Caenorhabditis elegans: one gene and its partner. The protein of the gene in region 1 purifies or fractionates together with the protein of each later gene. This does not show direct contact. Each region holds a gene or a part of one and is shown in the gene's direction. Other genes may lie near its edges.

Evidence for each region.
Region 2: the proteins of rpb-9 (region 1) and Y41C4A.32 fractionate together in Caenorhabditis elegans (co-fractionation; one large-scale study listed by BioGRID). This does not show direct contact.

The regions. Positions count from the first base shown.
Region 1 is NC_003283.11:8,010,746-8,014,668, reverse strand, and holds rpb-9 (DNA-directed RNA polymerase II subunit rpb-9), read left to right. Parts: upstream 1-2,323; coding exon 2,324-2,508; intron 2,509-2,942; coding exon 2,943-3,071; intron 3,072-3,123; coding exon 3,124-3,313; 3' UTR 3,314-3,456; downstream 3,457-3,923. Other genes in the region: Y97E10AR.6 (BSD domain-containing protein), read left to right, coding at 721-882, 974-1,819, 1,930-2,028; lmtr-2 (Ragulator complex protein LAMTOR2 homolog), read left to right, coding at 3,563-3,746, 3,855-3,923. UniProt on the Caenorhabditis elegans protein: DNA-dependent RNA polymerase catalyzes the transcription of DNA into RNA using the four ribonucleoside triphosphates as substrates. Component of RNA polymerase II which synthesizes mRNA precursors and many functional non-coding RNAs.
Region 2 is NC_003281.10:11,719,494-11,723,416, forward strand, and holds the start of Y41C4A.32 (Beta'-coat protein), read left to right. Parts: upstream 1-2,212; 5' UTR 2,213-2,237; coding exon 2,238-2,390; intron 2,391-2,765; exon of another isoform or gene 2,766-2,832; intron 2,833-3,004; coding exon 3,005-3,484; intron 3,485-3,723; coding exon 3,724-3,854; intron 3,855-3,908; coding exon 3,909-3,923. Other genes in the region: Y41C4A.11 (LITAF domain-containing protein), read left to right, coding at 407-478, 546-593, 1,321-1,506.

The DNA.
Region 1 (3,923 bases):
CAAGTTCCGAAAACTCCTGAAGAGATTAAATTTTCTAATATTTTCAAAAGGAAAATCATTAGCTTCTTTTGTCGTGTCTCCGTGTTCATCGACCCTCAAATCGATGGCGATCTGTTCAAATTCTATTCATTTTCGATGTCTCTTCGGTTCAGTGTTTCAGATCGCGTGTTGAGATAAACTCTTCTTTGTCATTTACATTTTAACTGTAACTTCAGTGTAATTTTTTCAGTTACAGATTCTTTTGTTTCGGAAAAAACCAGATGGTATTTACTATCTTTGAATTTTGTCACATAAAAGCATCTTCAAGACAACGAATGATTTCTTTCCCGTGAACTCTCGATGAACACGCGATCTGTTTGAACAGCTGTGTGATTTCCAATCATAATATTTCAAAAGTCATCTGATTCTTTCCATGATTTACATAAGAAAAGCTAAAAACCCATGTGAGTATGTTATTTGCAAACGCGCTCCATTCGAACTCTGCACATGACGATTTCATTCTCTTCTCTTCCCTTCTCTGCCTCATTTAGCCGAGTCTTCTCTGTGTTTTCTCCCATTTCAGCCTTTTTTTGCTTTTGTTTTTCTATTTTTCCATTTTCTGTTCCAGATATCTTCTCGTCTCATTCGTTTCTTCATCCTCTTTCGAAAATTAGATTCCGTGCAATAAATGAGTCCCTTCTCATGGCATTTTCTCCAGCTAATTCACTCATTTTTCAGAGAATGTCGGAAAAACCCGAAGATGTAAAAGTCGAGGAAACCGATGAGGAAAAACCGAAAACCACGGAAGATTCCGGATTCGCTGGCGGATTTGGAGCTGCTAGTTCATGGCTCAACCAGGGTTCCTCTTGGGGAGCATCATTTTTGAATTCTGCCAAGGAAAAGGTAAGTGCATAATTAAATTTCGCAATAATTGTGTTTTATCCTATTTTACTTCACAAAAACAATGAAAATTCCTTCTAAAAACAAATTTCAGACGATGACAACTCTTGACCTAGTCAAAAAGGATTTGAACGATTTGAGTGAAGCCGTCTCTGCTGAAGTAACCGATCTTGCTTCAGCTGCAAAAGAAGGTTTCGGGACTGCTGCAAATGCTGTCAAACAACAAGCTCAGATGCTGGAGAAGCTTGTGACTCCGAATGAAGAAGAGAAACCATTACCAGGAGAAGGAGACGATAATGGTGAATCATCGGAACAGAAAACAGGAACTGAGAAACCAAAACTGGAAAGCTCGAACTCTCTGAGCTTTGGATGGATGACTAAGATTGTGGATACGGTTACAGATACGGTCAAGAATTTGGCAATGGAAGAGACCACTACCGGAGAAGACGATTTTACTGAAGCTATCAAGCCCAAGAAAGATAGAAAAACTTGTTTATCAAAATTGAAGCTCTCCGAAATTCAATCCAACGAATCTATCTATCTCACTGAACCAGGAAATTCTGAATTTTATGAAAGATGGATTTCTCGCTTCAATTTAGACGAATATGACGGAGAGATCAATATTCTTCTTGCAAACAATCCATCATTGCGTCAAATGTTTGCAAATCTTGTTCCAGGCAGTGTCAATCATGAAACATTCTGGAAACGGTATTTCTATGCTATCGAGGTTGCTGAAATGGAGGAAGAAATGAACAAGTCGACACTCTCCGAGGCATTGAATGTTGATACAAAATCACCAAAGAAATCGAAAAGAAAGGGATCATCTGGAACATCATCAAAGAAATCATCACCATCATCTGAATCGTCTGTAGTGGTTGTAGAAGAGCCAACGAGTCCGTCACAATCTGAATGGAGTGTTTGCAGTGAAAAGAATGTTGAGGTTCGTTTTGTCGCTGAACCATAATTTTTTTTTCGAAAAATTTGCACCAAATGTTATTAAAAGTGCTGCCCAATTATTGAAAATCGATAGCAATGTCAAACTAGTTATAGGAAATTCCATCAAATGACGAAGATGACGAAAAGGGACCATTGACACCTCGACCTGAAAGCGAAAAGAAAGAAGAAGGATGGGTTAACTGGGATGAATAATTCAAATGCTCTTTTTTCACTAAATTCACTTCTTTTTCGATATTCTACATGTTCCTGTCAATAATTCCACTGTCACTCCTATCTCTTTAAAGCTTCTAGAATCAAATGGCTAGCATCATTCCCCCATTTCTTTATTTTATGGAATTCTTTTTTATATGTATATACAAAGTTAGAAAGGTCGGTTTTCCTTCTTCGAATAATCTTATCTCTCCTCTGTTGGTTTGTAAATAAAAATTGCATTTTTATTTTATTTTCCACATTTTTGATTCGCTATTTGTGGTTTTCCATTCCACTAATGTATCTGCAATTAAAATCAAAGCTTGAAAATGTTTTATCATATTTTTTCAGAAAGATGAGCCAAGGGTATGATAATTACGATGATATGTACGATCAAAACGGTGCATCACCGGCGCCGAGTCAAAACGAAAAACCCGGGAAAAGTGGGCCTGGTTTTGTTGGAATCAAGTTTTGCCCAGAATGGTAATTAGTTTTATATTATTTAGGAAATTATTTCCGGCAATTTCACAAAGTGGCCGATTGCGCCTTGTTGTTTCAACATTTTTCATTTAAAATTAGTGTGAAAATATTGAAATTAAATTGATTTAACTGGAAATATCATTTTCAGCTGGAACATTATCGAGCTTTGTTTTTTTTTTTGAAAATCGGTAACTTGCATGCCATTTTTAAGCACTTTCTGAAGTTTTTCAGCCGAAAATAATGTTATTTTCAGTAAAATCAACTGAATTACTATATTTTGATACTAATTTTAAACTAAAAATGTTGGAACAAAATGGCGCAATATGCCATTTTGTAGAATTGCCGAAAGAAAATTGCACCCACCTCTGGCTCAAAGCTAATAATAAAGACAAAATGATGAAAATTTGAAAAAAAACATCAAAATTGTTAAACTTCAGCAATAATATGCTGTACCCACGAGAGGATAAGGAATCACGAGTTTTGATGTATTCCTGCCGGAACTGTGAGCATCGTGAAGTCGCCGCTAACCCGTGTATCTATGTGAATAAGCTCGTTCACGAAATTGAGTAAGTTCATTGTCAAATTGACTCATTTTCTAAATCAATTGGATTATTTCAGTGAGCTCACTCAAATCGTCGGAGATATTATTCACGATCCAACGCTCCCGAAGACTGAAGAACATCAATGTCCAGTCTGTGGCAAAAGTAAGGCTGTCTTCTTCCAGGCTCAAACAAAAAAGGCAGAAGAAGAGATGAGATTGTACTATGTATGTGCATCGCAAGATTGTCAGCACAGATGGACGGAATAAAACATAGTGTCCAATTGTTTTCTATTTATTTGAAACGTTTTCTTAATCGTCAATTGTTGTTTTATTCCTTATTTCTAAAATAATGTTTTTTCGGATCTCCATATGTTCCCTACCTGTTCCAATAAATTCAAATCATCATTCAATTTTTCGATTATATTTTTTCTAATTCTCGGTTTTTACCGTACTCTTTGGTTATTTTCAAAATTAAAACTTTCTAACTAGTAACCGTAATCCAAAACTTTAAAATAGATGCTGAAACAGAAAGCGCTGGTTGATGTTCTCGGACAGGTGAACACAAGCGGTGTTGATGGTTCGTGGCTTTTCAATAAGGAAGGATTGCTCCTTGCCTACGTCGGAAGCGAACAGAAAGCCGTTGCATCAAACGTCTCATCTGCACTTATAGCCAGTGTCTGGGCTGCTCTCGAGAGAAGAGGTAGATTTTTTAAAACATGCTCATAATCAGTCTATTTCAACTGGAAAATTACCAGTTCACATTCTTCAAAGTTTGAAATCAAACACCTCGATCAAGTTGTAATTACAGCCAACGATCTGAAAGAAACTATTCTCGTTCTGGAGAATGGAGTAATTGGTTGCACACTCGTCGCTCGTA
Region 2 (3,923 bases), on another chromosome or scaffold:
AAAATACGAAAAATTATGGGAAATCAGTGGTAAATGCGAAAAAATGATTTAAAAAACCGATAAACGTTGAAAACGCGACGGTCTCCAAAATAATGCAAGCGTGCTCCACTGCGAATCCCCTGCTCATTTGCGCGCGCATTCAAATTTAGATTTCCCCGATTTATCGTGAAAATCGCTGCCATCTGACACCGCATTGCACCGAAGATGGCCAAAGATAACCAAAAAACCAATGAATCATTGGTCTATCGAAAATACATTATATTTTGTTGGGAGCAGCCCCACGAAAGCCACGAGAGCCCGCAAAAAGGTAAATATTGACTTAATATTTGTGGCGGTCTCTTACTTGGTTCCACTTACTTTTACCAATAGGCAGTTATTTTTGCGTTTTGTCGAAAAAATCGATATAATGTCTTATCCTGACGATTTCCCGATCCCTCATGTTATTCAGCCAGTTAAAGTGGTCCGGCACGTGGTGAAGGTGAGTTTTCAGTTTTTGAGCCCTAGAGGGGCTTTTCCCAAACAAAAAAAATTAATTTTTTTTCCAGGAAACACCTATAAAAACTCCGTACTTAGATGTTTGCCCAAAATGTCAGGTTGGTACAGTTTAGCTTTGAAAATTGAAAAATTAATTTTAAAAACAAGTTCCAACGAAAAATGCTCATATCTCTTGCGGCAATAGTGCTAACAAAAAGTTGTCAACTAATAAAATGTAGAACATAGAATTTGCAACAAATTACTAGTTGACAACTTTTTGTTAGCTATTCTCTCTGTCGAGTTACAGGAGTTTAAATGCACAGATAAGTTGAGGGTCTGTACCGTGAGCCTACTTTCACCCGCATTATCTTATGGATGAAAAATTTTTTTTTTTTAATTTTCAATAAAAAGCTGTAGATAATAAAATTTGCTACAATTTATCAATTAACGATTTTCTGATAAGTAAAATGAGAAAAAAGTTACAACAGTTTGAAATATTGTGGGAAAAATTCAAAAAATTAAAATTTCTAATTCTAAACTCTGATCGCTCATATCTCCACGGGGATTTATTTTATTGAAATTTTGTTACCTATCAAATTATAGAAAATTTAATTTTCTACAACATGTCAGTTAACAAATTTCTTGTATCTTTTGTATGCGCCGAGTTATACGTGTTTAAAGAGATGTGGTCTCTGAGAGCGCTCTGTATTTCCAAACTTTGATCGCTCATATCTCCGCGCCGGATAGCTTTATCAAATTTTTGCCAACTAACAAAATGTAGAAAATTGAATTTTCTACAACTTCCTAGTTAACAAATTTCACAAATAATTCGCATCTTCCTTCCAGACAACAATAATGACATCAGTAACAACACATATCGGAATGTGTTGGTGGCTTATTTGCTTCTTCGGAACCTTTTTATTCTGTTGGCCTATTCTCATTTGTCTGTGTTTTGATGTATCCAAGGATGTCGATCATAATTGTCCAAATTGCGGATTGTTACTTGCCACGTCGAATCGAGCCGGTTTTTAATTTTTAGAAACAGAAATTTCCAGAAATTTGTAAAACATGTATTTTTTTTTGTGACGGGCAATGAAGATTTTGAATTTTTTTGTTGGTATTTTGTTATCCCTTGACATTAAAAATTAACTGTAAGGCTTTTTTCAGTGCTTTCTGCCGTTCGGCAAATTCGACAAATCAGCAAATTGCCGGTTTGCCGACTTTGCCGGAAATTTTCAACTATGACAGTTTGCCGGATATCGACTTGCCGGAAATTTTTAGACGGATTTTTTATAAGACGGAAACATTTAAATCGGTCCTTTAAAAAAAATTTCCGTTTTCTTTAGAAATTTTCATTGAATTTGCTTACTTTTCAAAATAGCTGTAGGAACAGCCGATTTGCCAGAAATTTTCAATTCCGGCAACTTGCCAATTTGCCGATTTGACGGAAAAAATTGTATGCTGCCCATCCCTGAAAAATTAATATTCTGAAGTTTCCAAAAAAAAATGTGCAAAACCACAATTTGCCGAAAATTTTCGGCAATTGTAATCACAAGTAAAGTCACAAAAATAATCACAAGTAAAGTCACAGAAAAGACAGAAATCATGGAAAAGGGCAACCCTCTCACTTTCGCACACACTCTCCGCTCCATTACGTTGCCCTAGGGCTAGTTGGAAGTGTTGAGTTGTCCGATTGTGAAATTCCGTAGAGTATATAACAAAGAATGGGAAAAATGGTAAAGCAGATTAGATTTATCTGAAAAATGTCCTCTCCAGCTCCAAACTTCGTTTCCCACTCGGATCGCGTCAAGTCGGTGGACTTTCATTCTGAGAAGCCATGGATTTTGACTGCTTTGCACACTGGAAATGTTCAAATCTGGAATTATGACACTAAAACGTTGGTCAAGGCTATGGAGGTGAGTTAAAACGATTCTGATTTTTCAGTAAAGGAGGGGGTGTACTCTAGCTCTACTTACATAGGGGTGCTTATCTCAGCGGAGAGAAAATTTTTCAGAAAAATATCTACTAGCAAGTTATAGAAAATTTTAATTTCCCACATTTTCCAAATTGATCACTTTTCTATTTCAACTCTCCAGCCCCGATAAACTGGTTTTTACTAATTTTTTGAAACTTTTGTATTTTTTGGTTCTTTTTTTTCGGTCGTTTTTTATGGAATTTATGATCGACTTCGGAATGCCCAATTTTTCCTGACTTTTGACTTTTTTGACTTTTTTTTGGATTTTTCGGAATATCTGGGTATTTCTCTTTTCCCTCCCCCAGCCCCGCCTAAGCCTAAGACTAAGCCTATACGTAAGCCTAAACCTAAGCCTAAGCCTAAGCCTGAGCCTAAGCCTAAGCATAACCATAACCCGAAGCATAAGCCTAAGCCTAAGCCTAGGCATAAGCCTAATCCTACCCGAAGCGTAAGCCTAAGTCTAAGCCTACGCCTCAGCCTAAGCCTAAACTAGAACATTCACATTACATTTGCCAAGTTTTTCACCGTTTCAAAATTCATAAATTATATTTCCAGGTCTCCGAAAAATCCACGCGTGCCGCCAAATTCATCCATCGTAAAAACTGGATCGCCACCGCTTCCGATGATCAGCAAATCCGGATCTTCGACGCTGAAACGTTCAGCCTAATCAACGAGTTCACAGCTCACTCTGACTTTATTCGCTCCCTAACCGTGCACCCGACACTTCCCTACCTCATATCGGCTTCCGACGATCGTAAGATCCGAGTTTGGGATTGGGAAAACGAGTGGAGAATGGAGCAGGAATTCCAGGAGCATGCTCATTATATCATGCAAATTGCCGTGAACCCTGAAGACCCGGAGATGTTTGTCAGTGGATCGTTGGATAAAACTTTGAAAGTCTGGAAGCTCGGTGAGCAAGAGTCGATTTGCACTCTGGAGGGTCATGAGAAGGGGGTGAATTGTGTGGAGTTTCTGACCGGTGGGAGAATTGTTTCGGGCTCCGATGATTGCTCAATTTGTGTTTGGGATATTCAGGTGAGCGGGAATTTGAAGTTTTATAAACATGGTGCATCGAGCGGAAACACCACGCTTAACTTTAGGAGCTCGTATATCGCTGGTATTTTATTCTATCAAAATGTTGCTAATTGACAAAATATTCTTTGTTTGTTTCTCTATAATTTTGTAATTGACAACTATTTGATAAAGTCCAAACCAACCAAGATAAAAGTGGTCAAAGTTTAAAAAAAGACATGGTGCATCGGAACATTTTTCAGACCCAAAAATGCATTGAAACTCTAAAAAATGCTCACAAAAACAACGTTACCTTTGTCACCCCATTCAAGACATGGATTATCTCCGGAGCCGAGGATTCTACTGTAAAAATTTGGAATTCGCAGACTTTCTCGTGGGTTTCTTTAGCTCAACTTCAATAAAATAAATTCAAAACCTAAAACTTCAGATTGGAAAAGGAGTT